2 linked regions of the Notamacropus eugenii genome follow. The protein of the gene in region 2 interacts with the protein of the main gene of each other region in a pairwise test. Links are inferred from orthologs where the notes say so. Each region holds a gene or a part of one and is shown on either strand. Other genes may lie near its edges.

What was found.
Region 1: the proteins of PAK1 (region 2) and RHOJ interact in binary tests that used the Homo sapiens proteins (3 or more experiments, as listed by UniProt). The link is inferred for Notamacropus eugenii from reciprocal best matches to the Homo sapiens genes PAK1 and RHOJ.

What each region holds. Positions count from the first base shown.
Region 1 is NC_092872.1:307,059,852-307,076,412, reverse strand, and holds the start of RHOJ (rho-related GTP-binding protein RhoJ), read right to left. Parts: upstream 8,783-16,561; 5' UTR 8,301-8,782; coding exon 8,123-8,300; intron 1-8,122.
Region 2 is NC_092876.1:125,964,743-125,980,906, reverse strand, and holds the start of PAK1 (serine/threonine-protein kinase PAK 1), read right to left. Parts: upstream 9,222-16,164; 5' UTR 9,108-9,221; exon of another isoform or gene 8,669-9,107; intron 1-8,668. UniProt on the Homo sapiens protein: Protein kinase involved in intracellular signaling pathways downstream of integrins and receptor-type kinases that plays an important role in cytoskeleton dynamics, in cell adhesion, migration, proliferation, apoptosis, mitosis, and in vesicle-mediated transport processes.

The sequences.
Region 1 (16,561 bases), on a different chromosome or scaffold from region 2:
ATTCAATGTGAGTAAGGCTCAATCATTTCCTCTTACCTACTCTTTCTTGCCTCTTTTATGTGAGATGACTTGCTACGGTCTACCTCTCCCTTTTTCTTTCTCCCAGTACGTTCTTCTCAACACTGAATTTTATTTATTAGGTATCCTCCCTTATACTCAGCTCACCCTGTGCCCTCTGTCTATGACCCTTATATCTTCTCTTTCCTGTTTACCTTTTCATGTTTCTCTTGATTCTTGTATTTAAAAGTCCAATTTTCTATTCTTTTCACAAGAATGCTTGGAAGTCCTCTATTTCCTTGAAATTCCATTTTCCCCCCTGAAGTATTATATTCAGTTTTGCTGGGTAAGTGATTCTTGGTTTTAATCCTAGCTCCTTTGACCTCTGGAATATCATATTCCATACCCTCCGATCCCTTAGTGTAGAAGCTGATAAATCTTGTGTTATCCTGATTGTGCTTCCACAGTACTTGAATTGCTTCTTTCTGGTTGCTCGTAATATTTTCTACTTGACCTAGAAGCTCTGGAATTTGGCAATAGTATTCCTAGGAGTTTTTCTTTTGGAATCCCTTTCAGGAGGTGATTAGTGAATTCTTTTCATTTCTATTTCACCCTCTGGTTGTAGAATATCAGGGCAGTTTTCCTTGATAATTTTTTGAAATTTTTGTTGATCATGGCTTTCAGGTAGACCAATAATTTTAAAATTATCTCTCCTAGATCTATTATTCTGTCAGTTTTTTTTCCAATGAGATATTTCACATTGTCGTCCATTTTTTCATTCTTTTGGTTCTGTTTTATAATTTCTTGATTTCTCATGAAGTCATTTGCTTCCATTTGCTCCATTCTAATTTTTAAGGAATTATTTTCTTCAGTGAGCTTTTGAACCTCCTTTTTTCATTTGACTAATTCTGCTTAAGGCACTCTTTTCCTCATTGGCTTCTTGGATCTATTTTGCCATTTGAGTTAATCTTATTTTAAAGGTGTTATTTTCTTCAGCATTTTTTGGGTCTCTTTTAGCAAGCTGTTGACTTGTTTTTCATGATTTTCTTGCCTCACTCTCATTTCTCTTCCCACTTTTTCCTCTACTCTTACTTGATATTCAAAATTCTTTTTGAGCTCTTCCATGGCCTGAGACTATTTCATATTTTTCTTTGAGGCTTTGGATGTAAGAGCCTTGACCTTGTTGTCTTCCTGTGGTTGTATGCTTTGATCTTCCTTGTTGTAAGAAAATACATTTTCACCAAGAAAGTAATCTTCTACAGTCTTATTTTCCCCTTTTTTGGTCATTTTCCCAGCCAACTACTTGACTTTTCAGCTCTTTGTTAAATGGAGGATGTACTGCCCCAAGTTTTAGGGGTTTTGTGCAGCTGTTTTCAGAGATATCTCTAGGGACCTGTAAATTCTCAGTTCCTCCAAAGTGGTATGATCAAAGGAAAGGTGTTACTCCTCTCCTGGCCTATACTCTGGTCTGTGAACAACCACAAGCACTTTTTTCTGCCATGGAAGCATGAGTAGGATTGCCTCTCTACAGCTGCCACCAGCTCTGCCTGACTAGCACTCCTCCTTGCCCCAGGGCCAACGCCTAGGACTGTGACCCAGATCAGCTGCTCAATTCTCCCACCATCTGTAGGCCAAGAGTTCTAGAAGCAGCCACTGCTGCACCCTGGGGCTGGACCTGGACCATGTTCCTTTCTCACCAAGGTGAGAGAGCTTTCCCAGTGACCTTGGAAGCTATTTATCATGTTTGTGGGTTGAGAAGTCTGAAAACTGCTACAGCTGCCAGTGATTCAGTGGCCCTGAGGACTGCTCCAGTTCTGTCTGTGCTGGTGTGATCCATGCTGGGCTATGCTTTGCTCCAAGCCCAGTGCAATAAGTCCTTCCTATTGGCCTTCCAGATTGTCTTGAGCTAGAAATCTGTTTCACTGTGTCATTTTGTGGCTTCTGCTGCTCTAGAATTTATTTAGAGTAATTTTTACAGGTATTTTGAAGGGTTTGGGTGGAGGGCTCAGGTAGGTCCCTACTTCTACTCTGCCGTCTTCCAGTTTGCCCCTCTTTAGGTAGCCTGATGGCTGTCTGCTTCCCAGAGTTCACCATTTTAAGGCTGAACTTAGTTCAGACACTCAATTGGATTCATCCCTACTGTTACTCAGAATTACTACACTCAAACTATGTGCCAAATTTTAGACTTAAATATCTAAAATATAAAAGTTCTGTTACATTATGGAGAGAGTAAGATTTGAGTTGGTCAAGTATGTTCCTACAGTAAGTTTCCAAGTTAGATGACTTATGACAGAGAATCTCAAGTGCATGTTTAAGGAGAGAAGTCAATGTGGAAGAAAGGCAGACTTTGAAGTAAAACCAATTTTAAAATGCAGATCAATTAATATAGCTATTTAAGTAAGCAGTATATGAACTTTGGTTGGTAAGAATTTAGGTTACTTGAAAGAATCTAGCAAAAATTAAACTCAAAACAGAAATGAAACCAGATGAGGTTTGTATCATGCCTGACATTAATTGATTGAGGATTCTTCAATAGTGAAATATCTACCGAGAAATTCAAAGCTAGGGTAGTATGTGAAAAGATATATGACCTTGATAAAACTAGAAAATGCTTTGAAGTTCATATTGACAGCTTATACTCCCCTTGGAAGTGCATAGAGTTGCAGTCAGAGCTGTATATTGAGATCACACTTGGAGACCATATGGAAAACAGTTTCCACATCAGTCCATTTCTACTCAGTTTCATTGTCAGCCCTACTCTAGTTTGAAACCCAATGGGGTCAGAAAATTATTTTGTATAAATAAAATATTTTTGCATAAATAAAAACTAGGAGTTTCTTTTTTCTTTTAACTCTGTCTAAAGGCTCAGATTGTCTGGTGCTTTGGCAAATAGGTTTTGACTTTGAAATTAGTTTGCTCTTGGTAGAAATCTAGTGGATTCTTAAGGCTACCCTTTGCTTGCCTTCATCCACAGTGGAGTCACATTATTTGGTAGATTTTCCACTGCAGTACAGGTTCACAGGAGTTAGTGGGGACAGATGTAGCACCAGTAATGGGTACAAAGAGGTAATATTATCTTTTCCCTTTTAAAAGTAAAATTTAAAATAATTAATTATTGAAATTACTTTTGTACCATCTCTCCAACTTCATCATAACATAAGCAGAATTATAAATTTATACAACATATGAACTGGTTGATGGGTGAAACCTTATAAAGATATGTAGTGAGAAAGGATTACCAGGCAAGGCCCATAAGATTTCTCTTGCCTTGTTTTTTTTTAGCCTACTTCAGTATTGCTATTTGTATGGTATTTCTAGTTATCTATGCAGAACTTTTATTTATTACCCAATTAAAATTCTGATTCATTCTATGAAGACAGAACAAATTTGTTGGCAATCAAATTATTTCATAGCATACATGAACTTGTTTATATCTCCTATGGAATATTTTAAAGGAATTCTATTTTCTCTTAACTTAGACTGTGGGTGACACAACATTTAATCCCTTTTCAGTTAAACAAATGTTAATAAGGTGCTGGAGATCTCCTTAAGATGAGGAGCCCTACACCTAGCATCTACTCCACTCTGCCAACATCTCAATTTAGTTGAGGACTAATAGGATTTAGAAGGGTGGCACTGCTTGGTGATTTTTTTTTATCACTAAACTAGAAGTTTTCAGTGACCCAGAATATAGTGAACATTTGAACCGAAGATGATTTCATCAAAGAGAATCAATAAGTTGATCGCAATCAGAGAGTGAATATTGTTTCCAAGTCATTGAAACGTCTAACATTATTCTGTGATGAGGTAAAATATCTCGTATGACTTTGCATAAAGATTCATTCTCAGTCAGATCATAGGTGGGTAGAAATTGATATTGAAAGGAAAGAAGAATCTTTCTGGTATTCATTCATTCTATGAGTGACCTGGAAGTTTCCACTAAGTCTAACTAGATAAAGTGGGAGGGAAATGTGTGGATCAGAAATTTACTTTGGAAATTTATTTTACTTTGTATTATGTAGTGTATGGGTAATTAATAAATTCTAGTCATATTATTTCAGGTTTATGGAATGGATTATATATCTTGGCCTGCCAGCTTCTTCAACCACCTCCACCTTATAATCAAAGAATTAATTCATGTCTGACTCAAGTACAAAAACAGAAACCCTATACTTAGATAGTTTCCTTAGAAAATAAGAATGCTCCCCAGAGAAAGGGGTAGTTTTGGCCTCAGAATGAGAAGAGGCATTGGGAAGTTATGCAACTGCTAACAGATAGTTCCATAATTAAAATATCTTTCAAAATCCATTTTTAAAGGACATCTGAATTGGAGAGTCCATAGACTTCCCTATTTCCCTATGCACCCATTTTTCAGGTCTAATAATCACCACTAATAAAATCTTTCTAATGACTGACAGTCTATGTGTTCCACCTTATGCCCATTTCCTTCAGCATCTTTCATTCCATAATCACACACTCTCTTCCAGTTCACATTCTAAGTGAAGACATATGGGTGGTGGTAGGAGAAACATCTTTATTCTGGCATACAGGGGATAATGACATTTTAACGACAGTATTCATGGAATTATTTTCTCATCCCTACGGCAATGGCTTCAAATCCTTTTGGGTGACACCCTATTGTTTTCTGATTTTGTAATATCTTTCCATACTCCCAAATGTTGTATGGAATTTTGCTTTATAATTTAAAGTGAAGTTAATATTGTGCAAGAGTAGCTGAGTTTCCAAGATGAAATAAATTTCTGCTGCCATGAAGTTTACAGTCTAGTACTGGCAATCAGTGTCTCATGGGCTTTTGGTAGTATAAGACTATCTTTACAACTATACACTGCATTTCCTTCCCCATCATCATCATAGATCAAAGTTGTAGAATGAGAAGGAACCTTAGGGTTATCTAGTCCAAGCTCTCATTTTATGGATGAAGTCACTAACACATTAAGTTAAATAGCTTGTCCAAGGTGGCCAGAGGTGGGATTTGAAGTTGTCTCTTATACTTTAGATTTGTTAATTCTTTTTACTTGAGTTAGTGCCATTCGTTCACAAATATGCTTGAAAGTCTAACGTATTTTAAAGGAGACATATTTATTGAGCCTTATGTGTAACGGGGAAGCTAGGTGGCACAGTGGATAGAGTGTTGGGCCAAGAGTCATGAGAGCCTGAATTCAAGGATAGTATGTGACACTTACTAGTTCTATGACCTTAGGGAGGTCATTTCATCCTGTTTGCCTCAATTTGCTTATCTGTAAAATGAGCTGGAGAAGGATATGGCAAATCACTCAAGTATCTTTGCCAAGAAAACCCCAAAAGAGGTCACAAAGATTTGGACATTACTGAAAACAACTAAACAACAACAAAAGTTATGTGTAAGAAGCTGTGCTAGGTGCTATATATCATTTTAGAGGTGGACATGCTTTGTAGATGTGTAAACGAACAGTAACCAAACCCCTTCAGAAAGCCTAATATGACTATGCCATGCATAATAATATTATCATTAATTAATCTATATACCACTTTATAGTTTATAAATCACTTTTCAAATATTATTCTATCTTCATAGTTGCTATTATTATCATTCCTGTTTTACAGATGTGGAAACTGTGGCAGATGGAGGTGGATTTGCCCAGGGTCACATAACTAATAAGTGTCTGAGTCTGGATTTGAACTCAGGTCTCTCTGACTCCAGATACAGAGTTTCAAATCATTATAGATTCTATAGATAGGGCATAGGATCATTATATCCTAATGAAATGTAACCTTATATTTCTTTGCCCATTTCTACTTCTCAAAAGTATCTCTCTCTTTTTTGCCTCAGCTCCAGTTTATTTTGAAATATGGTTGGGATAGTAGCTTGGCATTTAGATATGATTTTTATAAAGACTGGAGTCTCTTTCCTCGGTGACTGGGTTCTTACTTTATTTTGTAGCTTTCCGGAAAAAAATTCTTATCATTTTGGGGTCTTCTTTGCAGCAGAAAGGAAGTTTGCCTCAGTTTAGTGGAGTCTGGAGTGTGAGTAACTTTCTATAGACACATGGCAAGGCTTAGGAACACAATTTGTTAAAATTACTTACATTATCAAGATGATAATGTACTTACTCTTTTCTGTATGCTATTCTTGTTAAAGTGTTTTTGGGGGTCATGCACAGTAACTATGCTTTCAGAAAGGGCTTAGAGGAAACATGAACAAAATTTGCTTTTAGGTTTTTGCAAACATAGCAAGAGTACTCTTGGAGAGTGGCCAGTTATTTTCACTGCGGCTTTGGGGAGATGGGACTGGGGAGGAATGTGTTGTTTTCATCTTCTGCATAATACAGACCATAAGTCACATAAATGGAGGTGGAGGAGGTGACTTAGGTGATTGTTTATTTCTAGAAAAGAGGGTACTTCCTATGGAAAGAGGGCTTCAGTTGGTCATGGAGCAAACTGAACAATTACTCAGGTTTCCTGTTGGCTATTTCCCTTTTACTAAACCTGACCCAAAGCCAAGGTGCACATAGATAAATTTTTTCCTATTGCAAAATCCCAAATCTCCGAAAAGATGTGATCATGAGAATATTGTTCAGAAATAGCATCTTAAGGAATACAGTTTGAAGGTTTTTTGCTAATCTGCTTTTGAAGGGTCTAATGAGATCTAAGGTTTCTCGAAGTTCTCAAATCCTAGATCCTATGATCTGCTACAGAATACTAAATCATGAGAATTAGTAAATGTCTGAATGTAAAAGTTTAAATAACATTGTAGTCATTTCTAATTCAATGGACTGTTCATACCCTCACTTCAGAACATCCTAGAAAGCATAAATCAGTTAAAACAATGACATTTTTGACTCAAGTAGTTCCAGAATATAGATTTAGAAGTGGAAGGAGTTTTAGATTAGAGATTGGAGCATTTAGATGAGAGATTGGAGGCCTACAGAAATTGAACACCTTGCCAAGGGCACACAGGAAGTAAGTGGCAGAACCAAAATCAGAATCTAGGACTTTCGGTTCTAAATCCAGTACTCTTTCCATTATACAACCTTGCACCTGACATCGCTTTGTAATTCTTTTATGCACTACACAGTATCTTGTGTTTAATAGATTGTCCATTATTTTGAATTGATCTGCTCTGCTTTTTCCCATTGGATATTCTAGGCTGTTATTGTAGGACCAATAGATTTAGATTTAGAAAGGACTTTGGGGACATCTAGTACAGTTGCTCAGAAGGCGAAATTAGGTTCCAGAGTTAAATGACTTGCTTAAGTCACTTTGGTAATAAAGGGCAGGGGCAAGAGTTGAACACAAGTCCTCTGACTTGAAAAGCAATGCTCTTTTTAATATGCCATGTGACTATTAATAAAAAAAAATTTCTTTTGCTTCAAGATATGTGGTAGTTAGATGATAACTATAAAAACCTTTTTATTCTTATCATACACCAATTCACATGACTGGGTTGCTGCTGGCTTTGATAAAAACATAAGCTCATTCAGTGATAGTGTTCATAAATTTTTGCATAACATCCACAGACACATTTGAATGATACAGTATATTATGGATATCATTTATAATATGGTTTAAAGTTTGCAAAGTTTTTTACACTCGCACATATATCACTTGAAAAAAAGTTGCTAGGTGAAGGTTTTAATGCAAAAGACAAAAGTTTTTTTGGGGGGTGTAGGTGTGTGAAATGCTGCCGAAATAATGTTGTTTTTAAAGGATCCCATTTAAAAACAAATGACCCTTCAAACTTATGGCTACAGCCTAAGAACTCAAAGGAGAATTTAGGTTAATTTTTCCATATACATATATATATATAGTTGCTTAAAATTTAAATAAAGTGACATAAATCGATTTACTAATGCTCCTTGGTTCATCAGACTAAAGAATCTGGCTTACTAACTTTCCTGACTCTCCTAACCATCCGAGAAGTAAGCCTGGTCTCTTTAACTCTACTTTGAGAATTTGTCTGTTTCCTTTCTCCTCTTCCTTAAAACTTGTCATCAGTTAGTTATTAAACAGAAGAGTGACTGAAATACACTTGTTTGAATAAAGAACATTTTCCCCCCTTTGCGATTATTTGAGCACAGTGATGGTCACTGTATATTTTCCGCAAGTCCCCCAAAGTTGTCCTTACCTGCGTAGTGGTCAAACACGGTAGGCACGTACTCCTCCGGGAAGGCGTCATTGGCGTAACTCATCAGTAAGCAGGTTTTCCCTACTGCACCATCTCCGACCACCACACACTTTAGGGGTTTTTTCACGTCCTCCTCGCTGGGGCAGCCACTTTGCCCTTGTTCCTCTTTGCAGTTCATTCTTATCTGGGGCTATTCCTGATTCTCCAAGTTCTTCTAGGAGCGCATGAAGAGAAACCCGAGTGAGCGCCCAGGTTTGTTTACCCTCACTTAGCTGGGTACTCTTGGCTCAGAATTAACATTTTCCAGGTTGCTGCTGTTTGCCCGCTCACTTTACCATGCTGGGAAAGAAAGGGAATGTCCACTTTTAAAGAAAAAAATATAATAGCTTGTCTTTCCCCTGTCGTTTGAATCAAGACACCCTCATTTTCCTAGAGATCTGGGTGTTTACTGTGATCTTGAAAGATAGAAGCCTGAAGCTTTCTCTCTTTCCTCTCTTTCTTCAACTTGGCTGGAGACACCAGGGATTTCTTCTAAATCCTTCCCATTTTCCATTTCACATCTAACATGGAGGAAAGCCGGGATTTTTTTTTTCAAATGGAGTTTTTCCTTTCTTTCTCCAGCTTGCTAAGTGTCAGGAAATCATGGGTTTCCTGCTGCATTCCATATTAGGATGAGTGGGTTGGTGAAGGGTTCCAAACAATGAGCAGTCTGTGTGTTTGTACTTCGGAGGACTGTGCCAGGACAGAGAATCAACACTAGAGGTCCCACTGTGGCCAGAAGTTGAGACACTTCCTCTTTCTTCCACTGCTGGAAGGGGACTGCTCACTCTGCTGGCTGAAAAGAAACTGATGAGAACAGGCAGGGTGGGGAGTGCCGTCTATACAAAAAACAAGGGAATCAGCTTAATTAAGCGTGAGAGAACCACACCATCCAGCATGAGATAAGAGATGACATCACCCCAGTACTGACTTATCCTGAAAAGCTTGGCAAGTTAAAAAGGGGCAGTTCTTTAGGCACTCAACTTAGAAACCTTAAACTTTTCCTCTCCCTTGCCATAAAGAAGAAAACTCTCTAGGGATGTAAATGTTTTGAAGGAAAACTTCATTTTCCCCTCCAGTAGTGTGTGTGTGTGTGTGTGTGTGTGTGTGTGTGTGTGTGTGTGTGTGTGTGTGTGTGTATGTAAACCAACTTTATAAATTGCCACACTCGCTTTAGAAATTAAAACATCTTACAGATATAAAGTTTTATAATCACACATATGAAATAGATCATTCAGCTGAACTCATCTGAAAAGTAGTTGGCATTTACTTCTCCTTATTAGTGAATAATGAACATGTGTGTCATGCTCATTTAACACATTTGGAAAGTGGGTTTTGGATCATTTCAAATTTCACATGTTAAGATTTTGCTTTGGCACATTGATTCTGGATACAGTTAGATACAATAAACATTTATTTAGTGCAGGAGCCGTGCTAAATGTTAGGGAAGAGAAAAATGAAAAGGAAACATTTCCTGACCTCGACGAGATTATATTCCTTCAGCACACATTGATAGTCAAATGCAAAACATGTGCAAAATAAATATAAAGTTATTTTGGGGGGCAGTGGGATACAATCTTAACAACTAGGGGTGAGGAAAGGGATCAGGAAAGACTTTATAGGACCTAGCATTTGCCTGGCACATAGTAGGCACTTAATAACTGTTAATTGATTGAAAGGACCAAGGACTAGAGAGGAGAAGGAAGAGCATTTTGACCATGGGAAACAGTCAATGTAATGCACATTTAGAAGATGGAATGTCTCATTTAGGGAACCATAAGTTGGCCGATTTTGCTGGAACAGAGAGTTCATGAGGGGAAAATGTGTGAAATCATTTTCTGAAGACAGATTGAGAGTAGATCGTAAAGGGCTTTAAATGCCGCAAGAGTTTGTATTTGAGTCTAGAAAAAACAGGGAGTCACTGGAACTTTTTGAGCAGGGGAGTGATACATGCTTTAGGATTGTCAATTTGTCAACCATGTGGAGGATGGATTAGAGAAAGAAGAAACTGAAGGCAAGGAGACCAGTTAGGAGAATATTGTGGGAGGTGATGAGGGCTTGAACTGGGGTAGTGGTTACTCAAAGGGAGAAAAGGGAATGAATGTGGAAATGCTGTGGAGGTTGTATCAGCATGATTGAGGGGAGGTGGGTATGAGTAAAGAGAATAGGATGACTCCAGGGTTGTTAACCTCAACATCTGGAATGAAACTTGTACCCTTACCAGGAACAGGGAATTTAGGAGGTGAATAAATTTGGGGTAAAAAATAATGAGTTTGAGATGTCAATGGGACATCCAGGTGAAGATTGGAGAGCTCACACCACCAACTCCAACACAGAGTTGGTGATATGAGCCTGAAGCTCAGGAGAAAGACTAGGGCAGGATATGTCAACTTTGGAGATGCACAGAGATGATATTTGAATCCATGGAACCAGTGAGATAGAGAGATAGAGACAGAGAGGGAGAGAGAACAGAGACTCAGAGAGATAGACATGGAGAGACACAGACACAGAGACAAAAGGAGAGCGAGGGAGAGAGAGGGAGGGAGGGAGAGAAAGAAAGAGAGGGAGAGGGAGAGGGAGAGAGAGAGAGAGAGAGAGAGAGAGAGAGAGAGAGAGAGAGAGAGAGAGAGAGAGAGAGAGAGAGAGAGAGAGAGAGAGAGAATAGATATGGATGAGGATCCAGCCAAGAAAACTGAGCAGCCATGGTCAATGAAGAGCCAGGATTGAGCAGTATTATTAAAACTCAGGAAGGAGTATCCTTCAGTGTAATGTTGCAGAGATATCAAAAAGTATGTGGACTAACAAAAGGTAATTGTATTCGGCAATTAAAAGATCATTCATTGGTAACCTTGGATCACATCTGCACAACTTGGAAATAGGTAGGGACTAAAATTAAAAATAGACTAGTAGTGGCTCACTTTCCAAGTAAAGGTATAATTAATAATTGAACTATTTTGCAAATAGACCATATTAAAAAGGGAAATTTCAATTAATATCAATAAATTATACTTATTAAGGTTTTTATTTATCATGAAATCACTTCTCTTAGACAAGAGACAGATTAAGGATGGTTGGTTACTGTGGATCACATGACAAACAGGAGAAAGTGCACAGTGGCAACCCGCCTGCCATGTTACATGACAGACACAGGAGTGACTAGTGGAAGGTGGGTTAAGCAAGGCACAGACAAAGCACTTGTTATATCTTTATTTTCTTTGACATCCTCTACATTTTTGTAGGCCATGGAAATACTTTGGTGGAAGCCCATGGGGTGTATGTTGCACAGACCTGCCTTAGAGAAAGCTGTTTCAGTAAAGTGGTGAGGATGGAAATCAAATTATAAGGATTTAATCTTCTCTTCAGGTGAACCTGGGCCTCTACTACTCCTGAACAAATTGGTAGTTCATGTGGAGATCTGCTGGAGTTTGCTAAATGATGCCTCCTTTCTCTCAACATGCAGCTAATGTGCTTGATCTCATGTGGGAAAATAAATAGAACTCACAGGATGACTTCAGAAAAGAGTTCAGATATCTTATCATTCTGTACTTTTATTTGAAATTTAATTTTTAATTTAGATTTTCTTTTAGGTTCATGTATAAATTATAAATACATTTGTATGCATATATGTATGTACAAAGATATGTATATGTGTTCTTGTTAGAACCTATAAATACTCTTTTTTTTTCCTGGTTTTGGTATCATACTGTGGAAGAAACTATGACAAATAGCAAAGCATTATACACTTGTTAATATTTTGGCCTGAAAAGGTCAGCATGCTGATTTATGAGGTTCTCTTTAGACTGAATTATGTGTACCATTTCAACATTAATCTTTTGGAGTTAATCTTTAGTCACTATAATAGCAATTTTCTTTAAGAGAATGATAGGGAATATGATTGTTACTAAGCTAGCTTACTTTAAAAACCAGAAGAATAACTAATTAGTCAGACTTCCTTTACCCAAAGATAGCTAGGTGGCACAGTAGATAGAGTGTCAGGCCTGAAGTCAGGAAGACTTATCTTCATGAGTTCAAATCTGGCCTCAGACACTCACTAACTGTGTGACCTGGAGCAAGTCACTTAACCATGTTGGTCTCAGTTTCCTCATCTGTCAAATGAGATGGAGAAGGAAATGCAGAACCAATCCAGTATCTTTGCCAAGAAAAACCCAAATGGGGTCATGAAGAGTTGGACATGACTGAAAGAACTGAACAACACTGGAAATAATACTCAGGGTCACTTATTAACATATCATGGAACAGGTGACTGCTTTATTTTCCTCTTAGCACAGTGAGGACAGTTGTTATGACTTATATCTTGTACTCATAGTTGTCCTCCAAAATTATTTGTTTTTTCATGTCATACACAATGATGAGGCTGTCTGACCTGTTTCACTTTATACATACTTGCCTAGGTTGTGAGAGAAGTTGTAGTTGCAGTTTTTCTGGGGTTTCAGAGGAATCAGTTTCCTTAGTGACTTCTCTCTCTGAGTTTTGGCTTCATTTGAACCTCTCCAAACACCTATCATATATTTTTGCCTGGAATACTAATCACCTCATAGTTGCTTCCAGTTTTGATAGGATGCCACTAGAGGTGACATACTACCCTTTTGTCTTCTGCTTCTGCACTTGCGTTCAAAAGTCTGACACAGAAGTCAGACAGCTGGCATAGATGTTCACATTCTTCTTCAATTTCTCTCTTCAAGGGGCTTCTCTGGGTTCAGACTCAGTGATATTGGCCCATTTCTAGATACCAAAAGGGTGGGTATCACAGAGAAGTAGATTTGGGCCAAAGCAATTGTGTTCCTTGTAATACTTCATAGACCCATTGGTGTACCCTACAGTAGGCCTGAAGCTCAAATTTAGCTGTGAATCTTCTTTTTTAGACATATAATGGGAAACCCAAATTGGACCTAAGTCATCCTTCTGGGGGTCAAATTTCACTCAAATATATTTTTTCTGTGACATCAAATTACCTGCACTCAATAAAAAATTGAATACCTTTGCTCTGATATGTCTAGACTCAGAAAAAATCTTTGTTGTTTTAGTTCTGATTGGAATGACCTGCAGTTTACTTATGATGCCACCAGTATACTGTAGAGAATTGTTTGTTGTCCTTCATTCTCAAAGAGGATCAAAATGACATCACTATGCTAGAGTCAAGTTTCAATGTGTCTGGCTGTGGCTGATCAGACAAATATGAGCTCAGAATGCTTTATCACAGATTGGATACAAATAGTCTGTGTGAACATTTGGGGTGGATACTCTAAATTTCCTTTGAGCTGTTTCAATTCTGCTTTGCTCATAGAGCACAGCATCTTCTCTGATGTGGGCATGCCATGCTAAAGGGTCCTGTGCCAGTGTCTCCCATGTCACACAATTCCAAAGTTCTTAAGAGACACCTTGAGAGTGTCCTTGTATCACTTCTTCTGACCACCATGTGAACCCTTGCCCTGTCTGAGTTCTCCATAAAATAGTCTTTTTGGCAATCATATATTTTGCATTCAAACAACATGGCCAGCACATCAGAGTTGTGCTCTCTGAAGCAGAGTTTGAATGCTTGACATTTTAGTTCAAGTAAGGACCTCATGGAAGCAATTTATTTTCCTAGCATGGTGCTGGTAAACTGTCCATGTTTCACAAGCATATAACAATGAGGTCAGCACAACGGCTCTGTAGACCTTCAGTTTGTTAGTCAGTCTAATACCTCTTTTTTCTCATCCTTTCCTTTATAGCCTCTCAAACACTGTGCTAGCTGTGGCAATACGTGCTTCAACGTCATTATCAATATGTACATCCCTAGAAAGTACACTGCCAAGGTAAGTGAATTTAGCCACCATATTCAAAACTTTTCACTTTGTTGTCACCAATGGTTCCACATATGGACAGTTTGGTGGTGGCTGATGGAGCACCTATGTTTTCTTGCTGTAAATTGTTAGGTCAAAATTAGCACGAGCTGTGATCAATTTCCTTCCCACTTTGACTTTTCATGTAGCCTTTGCAGAGACCTACAAGAGAACTGAAGCAAGTAGTGACAGTGAATATTATCAGAACATTGACTCTTCATCTTCAGAAATAGATACTGAAATATTTGACTGTGATGATTCTCTACTACCAGGAAAATGGAAGAATTATTTGAGGCAAATTTTATCTAAGGGACAGATGTGTTTTTGCTGAGTGAGTGGAATAGGAGATACATCTAATGAGTTACTCATGAGACCCATCTCTCCAACTCCTGGATGTTCTAGGAACAATGTCAGAAGATTACTTTGTAATGGATGATCACAGAAACAGTCCCCAGAGACCCACTGTACCATCACAGAATCCAGCAGCCTTATGTGTATCAATATTTTTCTTGTTTTTCATTTTCCAAGAGAACTAAAAACCTCACAGAATGAAAACTTTTATATGAATTGGATGTGAGGCTGAGTTGCACAAAATCATCAGCCTTACTCTCTCTTCCAGAGTCATCAAAATTCAGTGGCAAGACAAAGTCAGGAGGACTGGTGATGGCCTGGGATGCAGTGGATGACCTTAGCATTTTCCATGTCTGATCAAGTTCTAAGCACCTCATAATGCCTGCTTTAGCTGCCTTCATGGTCATTGGAGCTAATTGTTCTCATATACTCATTCTGCTGGGGAGGCTTCATATGTTTGGGGTAGATATGCACCTAACTCATCAATGGGATTTAGACCTATCAGTTTCCCTCCACTTGGTTTAGATTATCTGCCAAGATGATTTTGCTGGGGTGTGACTGCTGTGTAAGTTACAGCTTCTTGGAGTCACAGGTATGAGTTGGGTGACAGGTGGGTACCAAAGGTGAATAAGCAGCCCTGAAAGGGGCTTGGGAAGCCCTCACACCAGAGGTGCTAGTCCTATCTGAACACTCCATACATGCTAAATTTTTTTTTTAATGGTTCAAAGTGAACTGTTACATCATGATAAGAGTTCAAAGTGTCTTGGACTATTGATGCCACGGGTTCTCAGTATCAGACATTTGTAGGAGCTACTGCCAGATTCCTACTTCTGATGACTGAGGGAGAAGACTAATGAGAGGGGGAGAGAGAGAGAGAGAGAGAGAGAGAGAAAGAGAGAGAGAGAGAGACACAGAGAGAGAGAGAGAGAGAGAGAGAGAGAGAGCGAGAGAGAGCGCACTAGTCGATGAAAGTATTAAGAGACATACATCTATTTGATTTGATTTGTGGTCCATCTAACCTAGGGGAAACTGGAGAAGTGTTACACAAACAGCCAAATTGTAATATTAATGTTTATTTATGTAAATTTGCCTTGTATATTATTGTATCTACTCAAAGATTCATGTGGTAATTACTGTATATGTTTGCTCCTATGTTTGCTCATTGGCTGTACATCATATTTCCTCTATTTGCATGTCCATTGTTGTTTATATATGTTCTGTTATTATATAAACTTACTTATGATATTCATTTGCTTTTAATGTACATTTTCTGGTATGGATTTCTATGCATTTCTGGGGCATGTTCATGTCTTGCATATAGTTTAGACCTGTAGTCACTAAGAGAGATACCCAGGGTTTGAGATGAATATGCATAAGCATATAGCTGATTTTCTGTGACAGCAAATATTTAACTACAGGGAAAACATAGAGGAGTTGCTCTTTCACAGACCCAATCATAGAAAAGAGACCCAAGGTTTTATATTAAAGGTGCAGCCATGCATGCCAGATATTACTTTTATGAGGTAAAATAAGTGCATTGAACAGTTTAGAAAGAGAATGACACCATTATTTAAACAATGACTGGACACATATCTCTAGGTGACTTTTCAAAGACAGTGCAATAGTCTGACAATGAGTCAGTTTAGGGTGAAGTGCAGCTCCAAATGAGAATTGGAGAAGGGGAGGTTACATGAAACTGCATGACACTAGGAAAATGGAAGCATAGGCAGAGGTGGCTACCACAAGGAATGGGACCAGGATTATTATAGAAATGCCGTTCTGTGAACCGATCAGGCCTGAGGAGTGTTGGGACAGGTGTTGCTAAAATTCTTCTACTCTTGACTACAGAACCCCAAGGTGATAACTCTATGTCTATTATTTCATCCTGGATTGCCTCATGGAAGACTGAAACCTTTCCCTCTGAACATTGCGAAAATCTGTTTACATTTCTGAGTGTCCTTATTGGGCATATAGTTGGGAGGAGGTAATTGACAGAGAAACACCCTTAGAGAAGAGAAATAGATAGATGTAACACTGAAGTGATGCCATAGCACTATCTCTAAGGGGGGACTCAGAGCAACAACAGCAAAAATATAGAGAGAATAATGGATCCTTTTGTTACAACTTCCAAGAGCAGAGAAGGAGCATTTATACTGGGAAACCCATATTGATACTGAATCAGTAGTAGATGTGTATGGGAATCAAA
Region 2 (16,164 bases):
TGGACATCTTGAATTGGGTGGCCTCAGATTCAGCACATGAAAATAGAACTCATTACCTTTTCACTCAAACCTTCTCCTCTTCCCATTTTCCTTATTACTGTTGATGGTACCACTATACCCCTAGTCACCCAGGCTCTCAACCTCAATGTCATCCTTGATTCTTAACTAGCACTCATTCCGCACATCAAACCATTGTCAAAACTTGTCATTTTCACCTTCACCACATACCTCTCATCTCCAACTACTTGTCTTGAGCTGGATGTCCCACAGACATCTTAAACTAAACATGTATAGAGCTGAATGCTCTGTACCTATCATTCTCCCCCCAAACCTTTCCTTCTTCCTAACTTCCTAACTTCCCTATTGAGGTTCTCACTATAATCCCTGTCACCCAGGCTCACACCTAGATGTCATCTTCAATTCTTCCCTTAATCCCCATATCCAGTTGTCAAAGCCTGTCATTTCTATCTTCATAGCATCTCTCATTAGAGAGAAAGATACAAATATAGATCTATATCTTTCTTTTCTCTTTTTGGCTAATCTCTTGGAGAAAACCATCTATAATTGATGCCTCCACTTCCTCTCCTCTCTCACTTTTAAGCCACCTGGCAGAACCTCATCATTCATTCTCTCTTCTGACACAGGCATCACTATAGTGCAAGCCTCTTCATCACTTCATGCAATAACCTATTGGTAGGTCTGCTGCCTCAAGTTTTTCACCACCCCAGGCTATCCCCCACTTAGCTGTCAAACTCATCTTCTTAAGTACAAGTCTGACTAAATCAAACTCCTACTCAATAAACTCCAATGGCTCCCTATTACCTCCAGATCAGATATAAAATTCTCTGGCTTTTAAAGCCCTTTATAACCTGGCCCCTTCCTATACCTCTCGAGTCTTCTTACACTTTCCTCCCTTTTATGAACTCTAAGATCCAACTATATTGACCAATTTGCTACAGTTCCTCATACTCAACATTCCAAGTCCCTGCTCTATACATTTGCATTGGCTGTCTCCCAGGCTTGGAATGCTCTCCTAACTCATCTCCAATTCCTAGATTCCCTAGCTTTTTTCAAGATTCACATTAAATCCCAATTTCTAAATGAAGCTTTTCCTCAGCTCTCCGGTAGTCCCTTCCCTCAAAGACTGCATTCATTTACACTGTATATATGTTGCCTCCCCCCAGGAGAATGTGAGTTGCACAGGGTAGGGACTGTGTTTTTGTCTTTCCTTGTATCTGTAGCAAAGTACTAGACACAGTTTAACTCTAAATAATGGCTGACTGAGTCTCAGAGTCACAAAATCAAAAATAACTAGGGAGTAGGACGAATCCTAGGGAGCGGACATCATAATTTTACAGATGAGAAAATCTGGACTTGAGGGTTCAAGTGCATTATCCAAGGTAATACAATAACCTCTCCCCCCACCATTTGAATTTTGGTCTGGGGCTCTTTTTAAGTCAAAAATTTGAAGGTTAACCATCAGGAAGCAAGAGGCAATCTGGAAATTGGCAACTTGACCACACAAGCCAATGAGGGGAAAATGGTGGAAGGGAAAGCATTAGGATAGGATCCTGCATCAGCTTCACCACTAACCATCTAATGAGGAAAGTCACTTCTTCTCTTGACTTCCATTTCCTCCTCTAAAACAAGGAGGTTGGGCTGAGGAGCTAATCCCTAAGGTTTCTACCAGCTCTGACATCCTAAACTCTAACATTCTATATTGTAAGGGCTGTCCCAGCCGGTGGTGTGTTGGCAAATGTTTAATAACTAGATCTCTGGGGGAAAAATATACACATGACCCATTTTTAAGTGTAGTCATCAAATGAGGTAATAATTGTAAAGGGCTTAGCACAGTACCTAGAACATAGTAAGCATAATAAAAATGTTAGTGATTGTCATCATCATCATTATTATGAACATTTTTCCATTGCTTTCAATTAAAAAAAATTAAATTTTGATTTGTATAAAATCAAATCTGGTCAGACCTGTGCTTAAGAAGTTCAGTTTGACAGCTAACTGGGGGATGGCCTGGGGTGGTGAGGTGACAGACCTACCAATAGACTATTTCGAGAGTTTAAGCATGAAATTAAGAGGGGGCCTGCATTTGCCAGTTTCTGAGGAGTAAATGCTCACGCTGAAAACTTAATCAGCAGCCACAAGAGCTGCCTCCAGCACTTCGCCTGGTTCCAGTTCATACATTTTATGGTCCTAAACAAGCAGGAGGCAAAAAGTCTCTTTTTTCTTTCTTTTTTATAAGAACTTCAAAGTTCTGTCTTTATTGTACAGAAGTTGGAATTTTTCTGTTCCTACTGGTTTAAGGGGATGAAGTTAGGTGAAATTTAACAAAACCAACAGCACAGATTGCTGGGAAGGGGGAAAGTAAGGTTGTTGGTTCTCCCCATATTTTTATTTCCACCTCCTTCACTGACAATCCAGTGTCTGAAAAAAGATTATTTATCTAAATGATATAGTCTTAACAAGAGAGGTTAGGGGTTCAGAAAGAGAAAGGACCAGAATATATCTTCCAGCCTCAGGAAGAATGGGACACCTCTTCGAGAGAGAAGCCAAGTAAGGGGGGGGGGGGGGTGGAAACTGTGGAAAGTTTCATCAGATGCAAAAGAAAAGTGAAAGAGAAAAGAGACAGAAGGTATTAAAAGGACTGCATCCGGTAGAGCTTCTCTTGGCCCCAGTGTGGAGTCAAGTAGGTCCTTGTATGGCATTAACATCAGAAGCACTAAAGAGGCAAAAACCACAGGAGAAGCGGAGGTAGCTTTGGGCTCAGAGGCTCAAACACAAAAGCGTGGGTGCTTATCTAGGCTTTCAAAACTGGGTTGCACGATCTCAAAGCATAGTTCCTCTCTAGGGTATTTGAATAGCAATTTTCCCTAGTAAAATTCGGAGTCAGGAAACCTGAGTTCAAATCCTGTATCAATCAACCAATAAGCATTTTTTAAGTGCCTAGAGTGTGTTACACAATGGAGATACAAAGACAGAAATGAAACAGATACTGCCCTCAAGGAGTTTACACTCTATCCAAGAAACAATAGGCATTATACAAGTGAAAAATACATGAAGATAACACCAACCTATAAGTCTCACAGGCTCACAACCTAGGAGTCATTCTAAATTCCTCACTATCTTCTCAATATCCAAGCTGTTGCCAAGGCCTGTTGATTTCATCTTAACAACATCTGCCCCCATCTGTCCTCTGACCCTGTCCCGACTCAGGTGCAGGTAGGTCCTCAACACCTTACACCTGGACTATTACAAAAGCCTGCTGGTGGATCTAACTGCCTCCAGGGTCTCTCCACTGCAATCCATCCTCCATTCAGCCACATCTTTTGTGATCTTCCTAAAATAAAGTCAACTTCTATTCAATAAACTCTCTCAACTCCCTATTGCCTTCAGGATCAAACACAAAATCCTCCACCTATCACTCAAAGGCATTCATAATCTAGCCCCCTTCTACCTTTCCAGTCTCCTACTCCCTGCCATGTACTCAGATCCAGAGATACTGGCCTCCTGACTGTTCTCCAATCAAGACCTTCCATCCATCTCTTGTGCTTGGAATGCTCTCCCTCCTCCACTCTACCAAATGACCTCCCTGGCTTCCTTCCTTTACTGGAATCCTCTCCCAACTCCTCTTAATTCTAGTGCCTGCCCTCAGTTATACATGGTTCCATGTACATTTGTTTGCTAGTGTCTCATCCATTAAATTGTAAACTCCATGCGGGTAGGGACTTCTTTTTTCTTAATTGCATCCCCAGAGAGTAGCAAGCAGTAGATAAGCACCTACTTCTAACATTAAATAAATATTCATTGACTGGTTAACTTAACTTTGAATTAGTGTACACGACCACAATAGAAACTCTTTCCTTTGCTATCATAGGACGCTTGGAATCTGGTCTGGAAGAAATCTCAGGGATCATCAGGCTCATCCTCCTTATTTTACAAGGGAGGAAACTGAGGCCCAGAGACAGAAAGTGACTCGACCAAAGTCATACAAACAATAAGTGACAGTCAGGATTCAAACCCAGGTCTTCTCATGCTAGATTTCCTGCTCCTGCCACTACAGCACCATCATCTCTCTGTTCGAGAAATAAAACAAGGGGCACAGCTAGGTGTAGAAGTAGATAGATCATCAGCCCTGGAATCAGGAGGACCTGAGTTCAAATCCAAAATCTGACATTGATAGCTGTGCGATCCTGGGCAAGTCATTTAACCCCCATTGCCTCCAGAGAAAAAAGGAAAGAAAGTAGCTCTTCAGACAGTTAAACAAAAATAGAAGCCAGTCACTCTACCTAGACATCCGATAACCACATAGCCATACAGACTATCTCCCTATGTGTTAATATTGTACCATAAAGTTACCCTGTGATATTTAGTGTTAAAATATGCAAGCTGAGGGTATCAGAAAGAACGCTGCCTTTTAGTAGGAAAATCAAATAATTCTGATTACTCTCCTCCCTCAGCTTTTTGATAGCTGTGTTGCATACTTCACTACCCCAGGGACCACACCCAGCTATTATCTCATTCCATCCTCCCACCAGGCCTAGAAGAGAAACTTTGGGAAAGGGGAGAGGGGGGGAGATTGCGATCTTTTTTCTACAGAGAAGGAGACTGAGGCTCTAAGGGTCATAAGGACAGTGTATAGAGCAGAGTTGAGATTAAAGCCTGAGTTCTTAGCATCTTGATGTTTTTCACAATTCAAAAAACATTTAATTGACTGTTCTTCAGTAGGGGTGAGGTAGCCTCCTCGGGAAATTGCTGTTCCTGAATCTCATCCCACCCTGTCCCATTTCCCCCAACTTAGCCAAGAACAAACCCTTCAAGATCTGGGGCAGTTGCCTCTTCCAAAAAGAAGCCTTCCCAGATTGCCACCCTTCCCCTTCTAGCTGAAAGGGATTTCTCCTAGACCCCTCTTTCAGCCTCTTTCCAGTTCCGCCTCAAAGGTAGGTGTCCCCAAGGTGGTCTTTGGCCATTGGGTCTGTTCCAGCCCTCTTTTCCCCTCTATACTATTTCAATTCCCATGGATTTCATTACCATCTCTTAATGACCACCTATACTAGCTCATGAACATAGACACAGACACAGAGCCACACAGATACACACAGACACACACACAGACACACACACACAGACACAGACACACACACACCCCTGAGGGCAGGATAGGAAGGAAAGTACTCAGAATAGGGCCCAACACAGAACTTAGGAACAAAGGAAACAAGCATTTATTAAGTATATACTGTGTCTGCCACTCTAAGTGATTTATACATATTTAGGTTTCTTTATATATTATTCCTGTTTTACTGTTGAGGAAACTGAAACAGAAGTTGACTGGCCCAGGGTCACTCAGTTAGTAAAAGGCCACATTTGAACTCTGGTTCCCCTCATTCAAGGCCCAGTACTCTATCCACTACACCCTTGCTCTGGGGTGCACCCACCCTAAGAGCAGGACATGAAGGCAGGCAAAAAGATGCACTAAAAGCTGTCATGCTTCAACTATTATGTCTATGCAAAGGACTCCCAAATCTACATATCCAGCATTAATCTCTCCTGAACTCCGGTCTACATCATCCACTGTCTAGTGGACTTTTTGAACTGGATGTCTCATTAGTATTTCAAATTCAACATACTCGAATGAGAACTCATTGCCTTCCTCCTCCTCTCTGCCCTTGAACCCCAGCTATCCTTCCACAGAAACCCAACTTTGCAACCCCGGACTCACCTTTAACTTCCCAATCTGCCTTTCCTCCCCTTCCTGCTCCCCACATTCCCCCCCCAACCAATGTCTATCTAATCAGCTGCCAGTCTTACGCTAGTGGTTGTTGTTGCTCAGTCCTGTCTGACTCTTAGTGACCCCATTTGGGGTTTTCTTGACAGAATTACTGGACTGGTTTGCCATTTTCTTCTTTAGCTCATTTAACCAATAAGGAAACTGAGGCACACAGGATTAAGTGAGTAGCCCAAGGTCATATAGCTAGTAAGTCAAATTTGAACTCTTCAAGAGGAGTCTTCCTGACTCCAGGTTCCAAACTCTATCCACTGGGCCACCTAAATGTCCCCTTAGAGATGCTACCTCCACAATCTCTTGAATTCATCCCCTTCCCTTTACTAACATGGCTGCCACCATAATTCATTGCCTTAATCACCTCATTCCTAAATTATTACAATGGTCTCCTTACTGGTCTCTCCCCTCTCCAACTCATCTTCTGCACAGATGCCAAAATGGTATTCTTAAAGCACAGATCTGACCCCAGGCACTTCCCTACTTAAACTTCCAGGTGCTCTCTATTGCTTCCAGAAAAAAATGCTCTGTTTAGCATTTAGAGTCCTTCACAATCTGACTCCAACCCACCTTTCCTGGTGCTTGCCAGTTACGGCCTATTCATGACATCCCATCTCCTGCCTTTGCACCTGCTCTCCCCCATTCCTGGAGTGTTCTGCCTACTCACCCATCCTGGAATCACTAAACACCTGGCAAATACTTGCCAAAGGCTCTTAGTGCCTTCTTCCTCTCCTAACTTTATAGTTTATGTGTATGCATATATATGTGTATGTATATATACATACACATATATACACACATGTATATACACACATATGTATACATATACACATACATACATACATACACATATACGTGTGTATACTTAAACATACAGGTTGTTTCTCCTGGCAGAAATTTAAGCTCCTTGAAGGCAAGGCCTTTGCTTTGGGGGGAGGGATGGCTTTTGTCTTTGTATTCACAGTGCCTGGCACATAGTAGGTGCTCACTTGTGGACTGATTTGTCCTTTCTTTATAGCTTGAATTATTCTATGCATGGTGTATCTCCCCTAGCAGATGAGATTTTATAACTGCCATTTGTATAACATTTTAATTGAAGCCCTTCACCTACATTATTTCACTTGATCCCCTGTAAAGTAGGTTTGACAGGTTAAAATTGTCCCATTTTACAGATGAGAAAAATGAGGCTCAAAGAGGTGAGATGACTTCTTCATAATCACACAGACAGGAAGGTAGATCTGAATCCAGGTCTTCCTGACTCCAACTTCAGCACCACATCCCCCGACTCCAAGCTGCCTCTCCTTGAGGGTAAGGACCCTGTCACTTCTAGGATCTGCAAGGCACAGTGAAAAGGGCACTGGTCAGAAGACCTGGATTCCAGTCCCTAGACAAATAACTTTTACCTGTTTGCACCTCAGTTTCTTCAACTGTAAAATGGAGATAATACAACTTAGTTTCCATATCACAGGGTTTTTGTGAGGAAAGCTCTTAGTCAATTTTAAGGGATGACAGAAAAGTGAACGTTTTCCCTCCCTGGGAATCCTAAGGCTTGATACAGGACTTCGTATATAGTACTTAATAAATATTTACTGAAGCAAAAACTAGATTAGGTTTTGTAAGACAAAGAGGAGCCCTCAAAAAGATGTGGAGTTTGGCCTCTGAGGGTCTGGATTCTAATTCCAGTTAAGCCACTTGGTAGCAGTGCTTTCTTTCTTAGAACCTCCATGGGCCACAGTTTCCACCTCGGTGAAGGGAGGAGGCTAGTTCTGGGGCCCCTTTCCGCTCTTACCCCAGGAGATGACTCCTGGGCCTACCTGAGCCGGGTTACTTCGGCAAAAAGCATGCTTCCCTGGGCTCTCCTGGCTTCTTTTCAGTCCAAACTAAAATCCCATCCTCTGCAGGAAACCTTGGCCAGCCCCTCTTAATTCCAGTCCCCCCTCTCTTCTGATGATTTCCTACTTATCGCTTGTTTGTTCACATTTATTTGCTTCTTGTCTCCCCCATCAAACTGTGAGTTCCCTGAGGGCAGCAGCTGTCTTTTGCTTCTTTTTCTGTCCTCAGCGCTTAGCACAGCACCTGGCACAAAGTAAGGATTTAGTAACTGTTCGCTGACTGACTGATGGATAATACTCAGGGGAGTCCAAACGTATTGGATTAAACCTCGCAGAATCGCAGAGTCTGTCACTCAAGAAAAGCAAAGTTGGAGGAAGTCGCCAAACCTGTACCTGCGCCCGACTCCCCGCCCCCACCCCCTCCCTGCAGCCAGCAAAAAGATGCTCCCCAACCCCCAGGGCAGACCCAGCCCCCCACGGGGCTTTGCTGCCCCTCCCCCGCAGGCTCCACACTCCGTCCCAGCCGGAGCTAGCCGCCGGGCAAGGACCCCAAGGGGCCAGACGGTCTTTGTTGGGCCAGCCCAGGGCAGCCGATCCGGGAACCTGGGTTAAGGGTGGCTGCCCCGCCGAGCCTGCCCCCGACCCGCCCATGCTCCAAACTTTCTACCTTCAGTCCGAACTCCGCTTCACTCCACCACCCCATCCCCACCGTCTAGTCCGCAGCCAACTCACCTGGCGCCCCTCCCCCAGCTCCGGTCCCATCCTCAGCCTGGGGGGAACTTGTCCGGAGATGGAGAAGACTCCCCCACCCCCGCCAGTCACCGAGCTGCCGAGCTGCGGGTGAGGACGGCGGGGAAAGGGAGAGCAGCCCGGAGCAGAGTGGGGGTCCTCCTCCAAGGAAAGGGGCAGGACAGTCCCCACACACACCCCGTGCCCAGGACGTCGGCTCCCCGCACCCACCCGAATCCACCCTGGGCTTCAAGTGGCGGCCGGCACAAAGCTGAACCCCCGAGCCGAGCACGCCCATCGCTGCCGCGGGACTCACCTTCTCAGACTCGCTCCTCCAGCTGCTGGGGCCGCTCCCGCAGCAAGCCCGGCTTCTGTCCTTTCCTCCTCTCTGCGTGACCGCTCCCTCGCTCCCTGGATCGCTCCCTCTCTGCCTGGATCGCTCCCTCTCTGCCTCGATCGCTCCCTCGCTCCCTGGATCCCTCCCTCTCTGCCTCGATCGCTCCCTCGCTCTCGGTCTCTCTGCCTCCCTTCTTCCCCCTGGCTTCCCCTACACTCCCTCTCTCCTCTCCTCCTCTCTCTCCCTCCCACCTTCTCTCTCTCCCTCTTGCCCGCCCCTCCGCCGCTTCTCGCTCTCTCTCCCCAGCTGCCCGGACGGCCCCTTCTTCTCCCCCGCCCGCCTTTCTCGGCTGCCTTCTCCCCACGGGGTCCCAGGCGGGAGGGAGGGAGAGGGGGTGAGTCCACAATGCAGCCCCTACCTTCTGCCGCCTCTTTCGCTGCCCGTCCTCCCCCTCCTCCTCTCTCTAGCCGTCTCTATTGTCAGCTGCTCCAGAGCCCAGTCCTTCTCCTCCTCCTCCTCCTCCTCCTCCTCCTCTCCCCTCCCCTCCCCTCCCTCTCACACCCCTCCTTCCATCTCCACCGGCCGCCGCCTCCCGTCCCCAGAACTCCCAGCCTCTCCCATTGGAGGCTGCGGGCGTCAGGACTGAGCCTCCCTTCCCCCAATTTCTCCCCTGAAGTAAGTGGACTAAGTCAAGGAGGAGGAGGGGCCGAGGGGAGGAGGGAAACTGGACAGACACACGTGAGCGAAGCCCACAGGGAGTAGGGGGAAGGGAGAGGGCTTGCTTGGGGTGACGTAATGTGAGGGTGACGCAAGAGACAGGGGAATCTCCCGGCTGGCACGTGACGTCACTGCCCAGGCATCCCTCCCTCTCCCTGCCTCTCTTCTGCAAACCTGACCTCTTCCTCTGGTGGACCCTGGGGACCTGTGGGCTCCTCTCTGTGGATGCCACCCACCCTCAGATCTGTGCTTCTTCGGACAGTGGAAGAGCCCCTAAAGTGTATGTAATGGAAAGAGGACCGGCCTTGGAGGCAGGAGAGAGCAAACAAGCCCACTCTGTCTGACTCTGTGACCTTGGGCAAGTCATTTCTCTCTGTGCTGCAGTTTCCTCACCTACAAAATGGGACTGATAATGCGTCCACTCACCACCTCGACAGATTTTTGTAAACCTTAAAGCCTGTAGAAATGGGAATTGCTTATTAGTGGCAAAATACAGTAATAATAGTGTTTGTTGTATCTTTCCCTAACCCCTCCTAATAGCAGTGCTTTCCTTCTCGTAAATATTTCCTGTTTATTCTGTGTGTCGCTTGCTTCCTATATATTTGTTTGCATGTTGTCCCCCTCATTAGACTGTAAATTCCTTGGGGGCAGAAACTGTCTTTTGCCTCTTTATATCCCCAGCACTTAGCACAGTGTCTGGCGCATAGTAGGTGCTTAATAAAAGTTTATTGAGTTAATTAACTAATGGCAGATTTTGTATTTAACGAGCTAAGTATGACAAGATTTCACATGGGTCTCAGCCATTGTGTGTTTGGCTCTCTTTATATGGTAAAGGAAGGTGGAGCAAGAGGGCCTAAGGCCATCAGGGTACAGTGCGGGCGGGATATCAATGCAGAGCTGATATGGAGAAAGACCTCCATGCTGGCACAAGCTGGAGGTAAAGCTGATTGTTAAATTTTCAGAGTGAAAAATGGCAAATGCTAGAAATCAGGTGTTGATTTATTTTTCAGTTGTTGAAACTTTTAAAAGTGATGGAGAAAATGCGAATAATGCAAATTAAGCTTAAAAGTGAGTCCTGTGCATCTTTTGGACAGAGCCAGTTATTAAAGATGTCCCAGCACACCACGAATCTGTGGTGGGGTACTCCCTCCAAAGGTACAAGTGGCAAGGCATCCATGTCTTCTGGTCCTGTCTAACTCTTGTCTGTGGCCTTCTATGATTTCTCAGGGAGATCACCCAAGATTCTGCTAGCCTTCCTTTAGATCAAGAAGAGAAATACATATTTCATTATGCTATTATTGGGCAGCTAGGCGGTACAGTGGAAAGAGCCCCTGGGCCTACAGACTTGACTTCAAATCTCCCCTCAGAAACTTATTAGCCGTGTAACCCTAAGCAAGTCACTTAACCTTTTTTTGCCTCAGTTCCTCATCTGTAAAATAGCTGGAGAAGGCAACACTACTCCAGTATCTTTGCCAAGACCTGAACTGGGTCATGAAGAATCAGAAAACAAATAAATATGTATTATGTTAGTATTACTTCCCCTGAGAGAGTGGAAGTATCGGGCACCCCGAATTGCTCATCTGCATGGAGAGAATATCTATGCTGGAAGTTTTCTACCCATACTCACACATATACCATCATCATCATCATCAACGTAGGAATGTTTCTGTAGGATTTCAGATTTATAAACTGTTTTCCTCAATTATCTTGTGAGGAAGATAGTGTAAGTATTCCCCTGTTCTACAAATTACAGAACTGAGAGCTGAAAGGGCCACTTGTTTCCCCAAGTCCTGGCTACAGAACCTTGGAAACCACAGGGTAATTGCAAAGGGGTCCACTGAAGGTGGAACCAGACCTAGGACTGAAGCATTCTTCAATTCAACCAAATTTCAAATCTCTGAAAAGGGCAAAAGAACATCTACCTAATTCTGATTAACACCATTATTATCATTCCCCCTTTCACAGATGAGAAAACTGAGGCTGGTAGAGATTAAGAGACTTGCCCTAGTCTAGTATTTGTAGCTGAATTTGAACTCAGAACTTCCTGTCTTGAGGCCCAGTGCTCTACCCACTGCACCACCTGATTTTTATTAACTATTATATTGCCCACTAGCTTTGTTTCCTCTGCAAGTTTGATAAGGATAATTAATAAACAAGCAGACCTTCTTTAGATTGAACAAACAATGACTCACACTTGTATCTATTGCCATCTCTCAAACATATGTAGATACTGTTGTGATTAATAAAATACAAATTCACTGAAACATGTCATTGAATTCATTGTAGCTCTTTGTGTATTGTATATTTTCTGATTCGATGAATCAAAGTTACAATTATTATCATGTTGGAGGGATTTCCATTAAATTTCTCAAAGTTAAAAAGATTGGGAATCATTGACCTAGTCCAATTCCTGAGGAATTGAGGTTCAGCAGGGAAACTGATTGACTCAAGATCGCATAACTAGCAATTGTCAGTGTCAGGACTCCACTTGAACTCAGATCTTTTGACTTCAAGATCAAGGTTGTTGTCCCATATTAGAGATGGGGACACTGAGGCTCAGGGAGGCAAGAATGCTCCAAGTTACTTACCGAGGTGGTCACCTGTCAGGGACACCTCCAGCTTCTCATGTGTTCTGGGTATGGAGACCAAATGAGAAATTGCCAGTGGGGAGCATCCAGGCTAAGTAAGAACTGAAAGAGCTAGAATAGCTTCTCCAGGCATTAGTGTTTGGAGCCCCAGTACTTGATGATATTTCTAAAAATCTCATTCACCTGTAGCATCATCCACAGGCTCACGAAGGGATTGAAAACCCCCCTTGGCACTTGTTCAGTCATTTCAGTTGTGTCCCACTCTTCATGACTCTGTTTGGGGTTTTCCTGGAAAAGATGCTGGAGTGCTTTATCATTTCCTTCTCCAGCTATTTTACAGATGAGGAAAGTGAGGTAAATAAGGGTTAAGTGACTTGCCCAGGGTCACACAGCTAGTAAGTGTGTCTGAGGCCAGGATTTGAATCAAGTGGTCCTGACCCCTTCCAGGCCCCATGCACCACCCAGCTGCCCTATAAACCCTCAGCATTAGTGAATTTCTAATTTTTTAAAATTCTTTTTAAAAAATATTTATTTGCTTATTTGTTTATTTATTTATTTTTAGTTTTCAATATTCACTTCCATAAGATTTTGAGTTCTAAATTTCTTTCCCTTCCTCCCACCACAAGATGGCATGCCATATGATATAGGCTCTACTTATACATTTCATATTTTCACATTAATCATGTTGTAAAGAAGAATTAGAACCAATGGGAGGAGCCACAAGAAAGAAGAAACAAAAAAAAGAGAGCAAATATTATGCTTCAATCTGCATTCAGACTCCCTAGTTCTTTCTCTGGATGTGGGTAACATTTTCTCTCCTGTGTCTTTTGGAGTTGTCTTAGATCCTTACATTGCTAAGAAGGGTTAAGTCTGTCAAAGCTGGTCGTCACACAGTGTAACCGTTACTTTGTACAATGTCCTCCTGGTTCTGCTCACTTCACTCAGCATCAGTTCACATAAGTCTTCCCAGGATTTTCTGAAGTCCACCTACTCATCATTTCTTATAGCACAATAGTACTCCATTACATTCATATACCACATCTTGTTCAGCCTTTCTCCAATTGATGGGCATCCCCTGAATTTCTGATTCTTTGCCACCACAAAAAGAGCTGCTATAAATATTTTTGTCCATGTGGGTCCTTTTTGAATTCCTAATTCTTATCATAGCTATATCAGATTGCAAACAAGACCTATGTCCCACACATCTTTATTTCCCCAATACCTAGCACAGGGCCTTGCATGTAGCTCAGATAAGAACTGGACCTGTAATTTTATTGCTATATAGAGCCCCCCAGAAGCAGATACTCCCTTGACCATTCACACAGCTCTGAAGGCTTACAGAATTGCCTAGATCACTGATCAGATCTTCCTGACTCCAAAAGCCAGTTTCCCATTCACTAAGGACTAGACTCCAGCTGCCTTCCTTGCATATAACAGGTACTCACTTAATGTGTGTTGTATTGTACCAAAAACCAAGCTTCCAGATTCCCAAGTCAGGCCTCTTGAACACCAGAATAGGACACCAAAGTGTCAGTGAATTTTTTGTTGTCCTTTCAAATTCAACCTCTCATTGCTGTGTTGCATTAGGGAGAGAACTAATCTTTATAATTTATTTATTTTTCGTTTTCAACATTCACTTTTATAAGATTTTAAGTTTTAACTTTTCTCTCTCTCCTTCCTCACCCCCTCCCCAAGATGGGATGCAATCTTATATAGGCCATACATGTACAATCATATTAAATATATTTCCACATCAGTCATGTTGTAAAGAAGAATTAGAACCCAAGGGAAAAACCATGAGAAAAAAATAAAAAAAGAATAACAGTCTGCTTTGATCTTCATTCAGACTTCATAGCTCTTTCTCTGGGTTGTGGATGGCATTTTCCATCATGAGTCTTTTGGAATTGTCTTGCATCCTTGCATTGCTGAGAAGATTTAAGCCTGTTATAGTTGATCATGTCAAAACATTGCTGTTACCATGTAGAGTATTCTCCTGGTTCTGTTTACTCCACTCAGCATCAGTTAATAAATTCTGTGGAATTATGCATGAGTGTATTGAGTTAGAAGGAAAGTATGTAACTGAGGCAGTTTAATTGGTAATATTAGGAGAAGCAAAGCAGGGTAAGGCAAGGGAAAGAGTTCTGGAGAGGGGTCAGGGTTCATCCCAGGGCCCTGGATCTTCATCTAGGGTCCATCACTAATATACTGGATGACCTTAGGCAAGTCATTTTCCCTGTTTCTCTGTGAAATGAGGATATTAGATTGGATGAGTTCTCAGTTTTTTGTTAGCTCTGAGAGCAGTGTAATGAGACTATTAATCACCTTCCTACATCTCCCTTAATGTAGCCAAAATGCCATTAGCTTTCTCATCTGCTATATCACAGTGTTCACCCTCATTGAAGTCCAATAAAATTTCTGGATCAGACAAACTGCTGTCAAGCCAAGTGTGTTTCATCCCCTGCCTCCCAACTCATGCTTGTAAAATAGATTTTCGGGGTCCAAAAGAAGGGCTTTATATTTATTCCTATTAAATCTTGTCTTACTAGATTTGGTCAGTGCCTTGCATGACAGTGACAGTAAGTAGACTGTCAAAATTTTTTTGGATCCTGACTCTCTGAGTAGTGTGTAAGCTATTTCTCTCACCTTTGTTGTATCAACAAATGGGATGAGGATATGATTTTATGCCTTTATTAAAGTCATTCATAAAAATGGGCTCAATTACAGATCCCTGTGGCACCTTCTAGGAGGCTTAAATCAAACCATAAATGCCTATTCCTGGATTCCAGTCACTCAATCAATCTGGAGTATACCATGTGAATTTTTGGAACCCAAGTGTAAGACTTTACACTAATTCCAATTAAATTTTATCTTCTTTGATTTAACCCAATATACTAAACTAATCTTCAATTCTAAATACCATTTTGCCCACATTTCTCCATTTTCCCCAAAAAGATAACACAAGAAACTTTCTCAAATGCTTTGCAAAAAATCTAGAAATAAGGGTGGGCTCTCTGGGTATAAGAGTGAAGGGAAACACTTCCAGAAATAAATGTGATATAAAAACAAAACACATTAATAAAAATAAATTTCTGTAACTACATACTGGTATGGATGGACTTTTTTTAAAATAGATGCAGCATACACTTTAAAGGTTGGGTTTGAACCTAGGTCTTCTGACTTCAAAGCCAGTACTCTTTCCTTCATAACTTAACAAGGTTATTGTAAGAAAGAAACTTTGCAAACTTTAAAAGTGATATAAAAAGGTGAGCAACTGTTTTCAAGGTTACAAGCTGCGTTTGCTATTGCCTGACTTCCATTTCAACTGACCAACTCTCTGACTTCAGGCTCATCCCTTTTTGACTGAGGCTTAGTGTTTCCTAACCTCTGTTAGGTCTTCCTGTTCTTGCCTCATTTCTTTCCCCATGGAACATCCAGGTCCATAGTTGATAACAGGTAGGAAGGGGTTAATGGCCCCAGCTCCCAAGGCATTAACTCTTGATTTGCTGCCACCTGGTGGTGAGATAGGACAAATGGTTGGTCCGCGTTGGAAATGGGATTTTAACACAGGTCTCCTGACTGCAGGGTTCTTTCCCCTACTTAGAGAAGCAGAGTCAAGTGAACTCCGTGCATATACAATGCAGTGATGAACAACTGAGAAAAACAGCCCTCCAGTGCTATCTACTTTACAAAGTGATCTCCCATCCATTCTATCGTGGGTCTGAGAGAAAACAAGGATGTAAGTCCCAGATTTACACAGACCAGAGGGCTTGCCCAGGATGCCAGGCACTTTGATGGACCTTTCTGGTATAGAGAATCCTTGGGCTACACTATTCCACAGACTTTCAGGAATCTTCATTTTGTTTGGGGATTCCAGTGGCCTTGAGGAAGGGACTTTGCCCAAGTCTGGGGGTAACAGACAGGCATTGGAGGCAAGGAAGTGAGAGTGTTCAGACCAGAGAGCAAACACAAAGATAACAAGCATGTAGTAAGAGTGAACTGAAGCTGAGACTTGGTCTAAACAAGCAGTTGTGACCATTGTGGTAGTTTGGTAGTCAGAGTAAAGTCCAGTGAACAGCTCCTTTCTGTCCCTGCTTTGCTGGAGCACAACACTGAGGCAAATTTTCACCCAGAATTTAGATCTCAATCCCTTTCTTTGGAAACCTTCTCAAA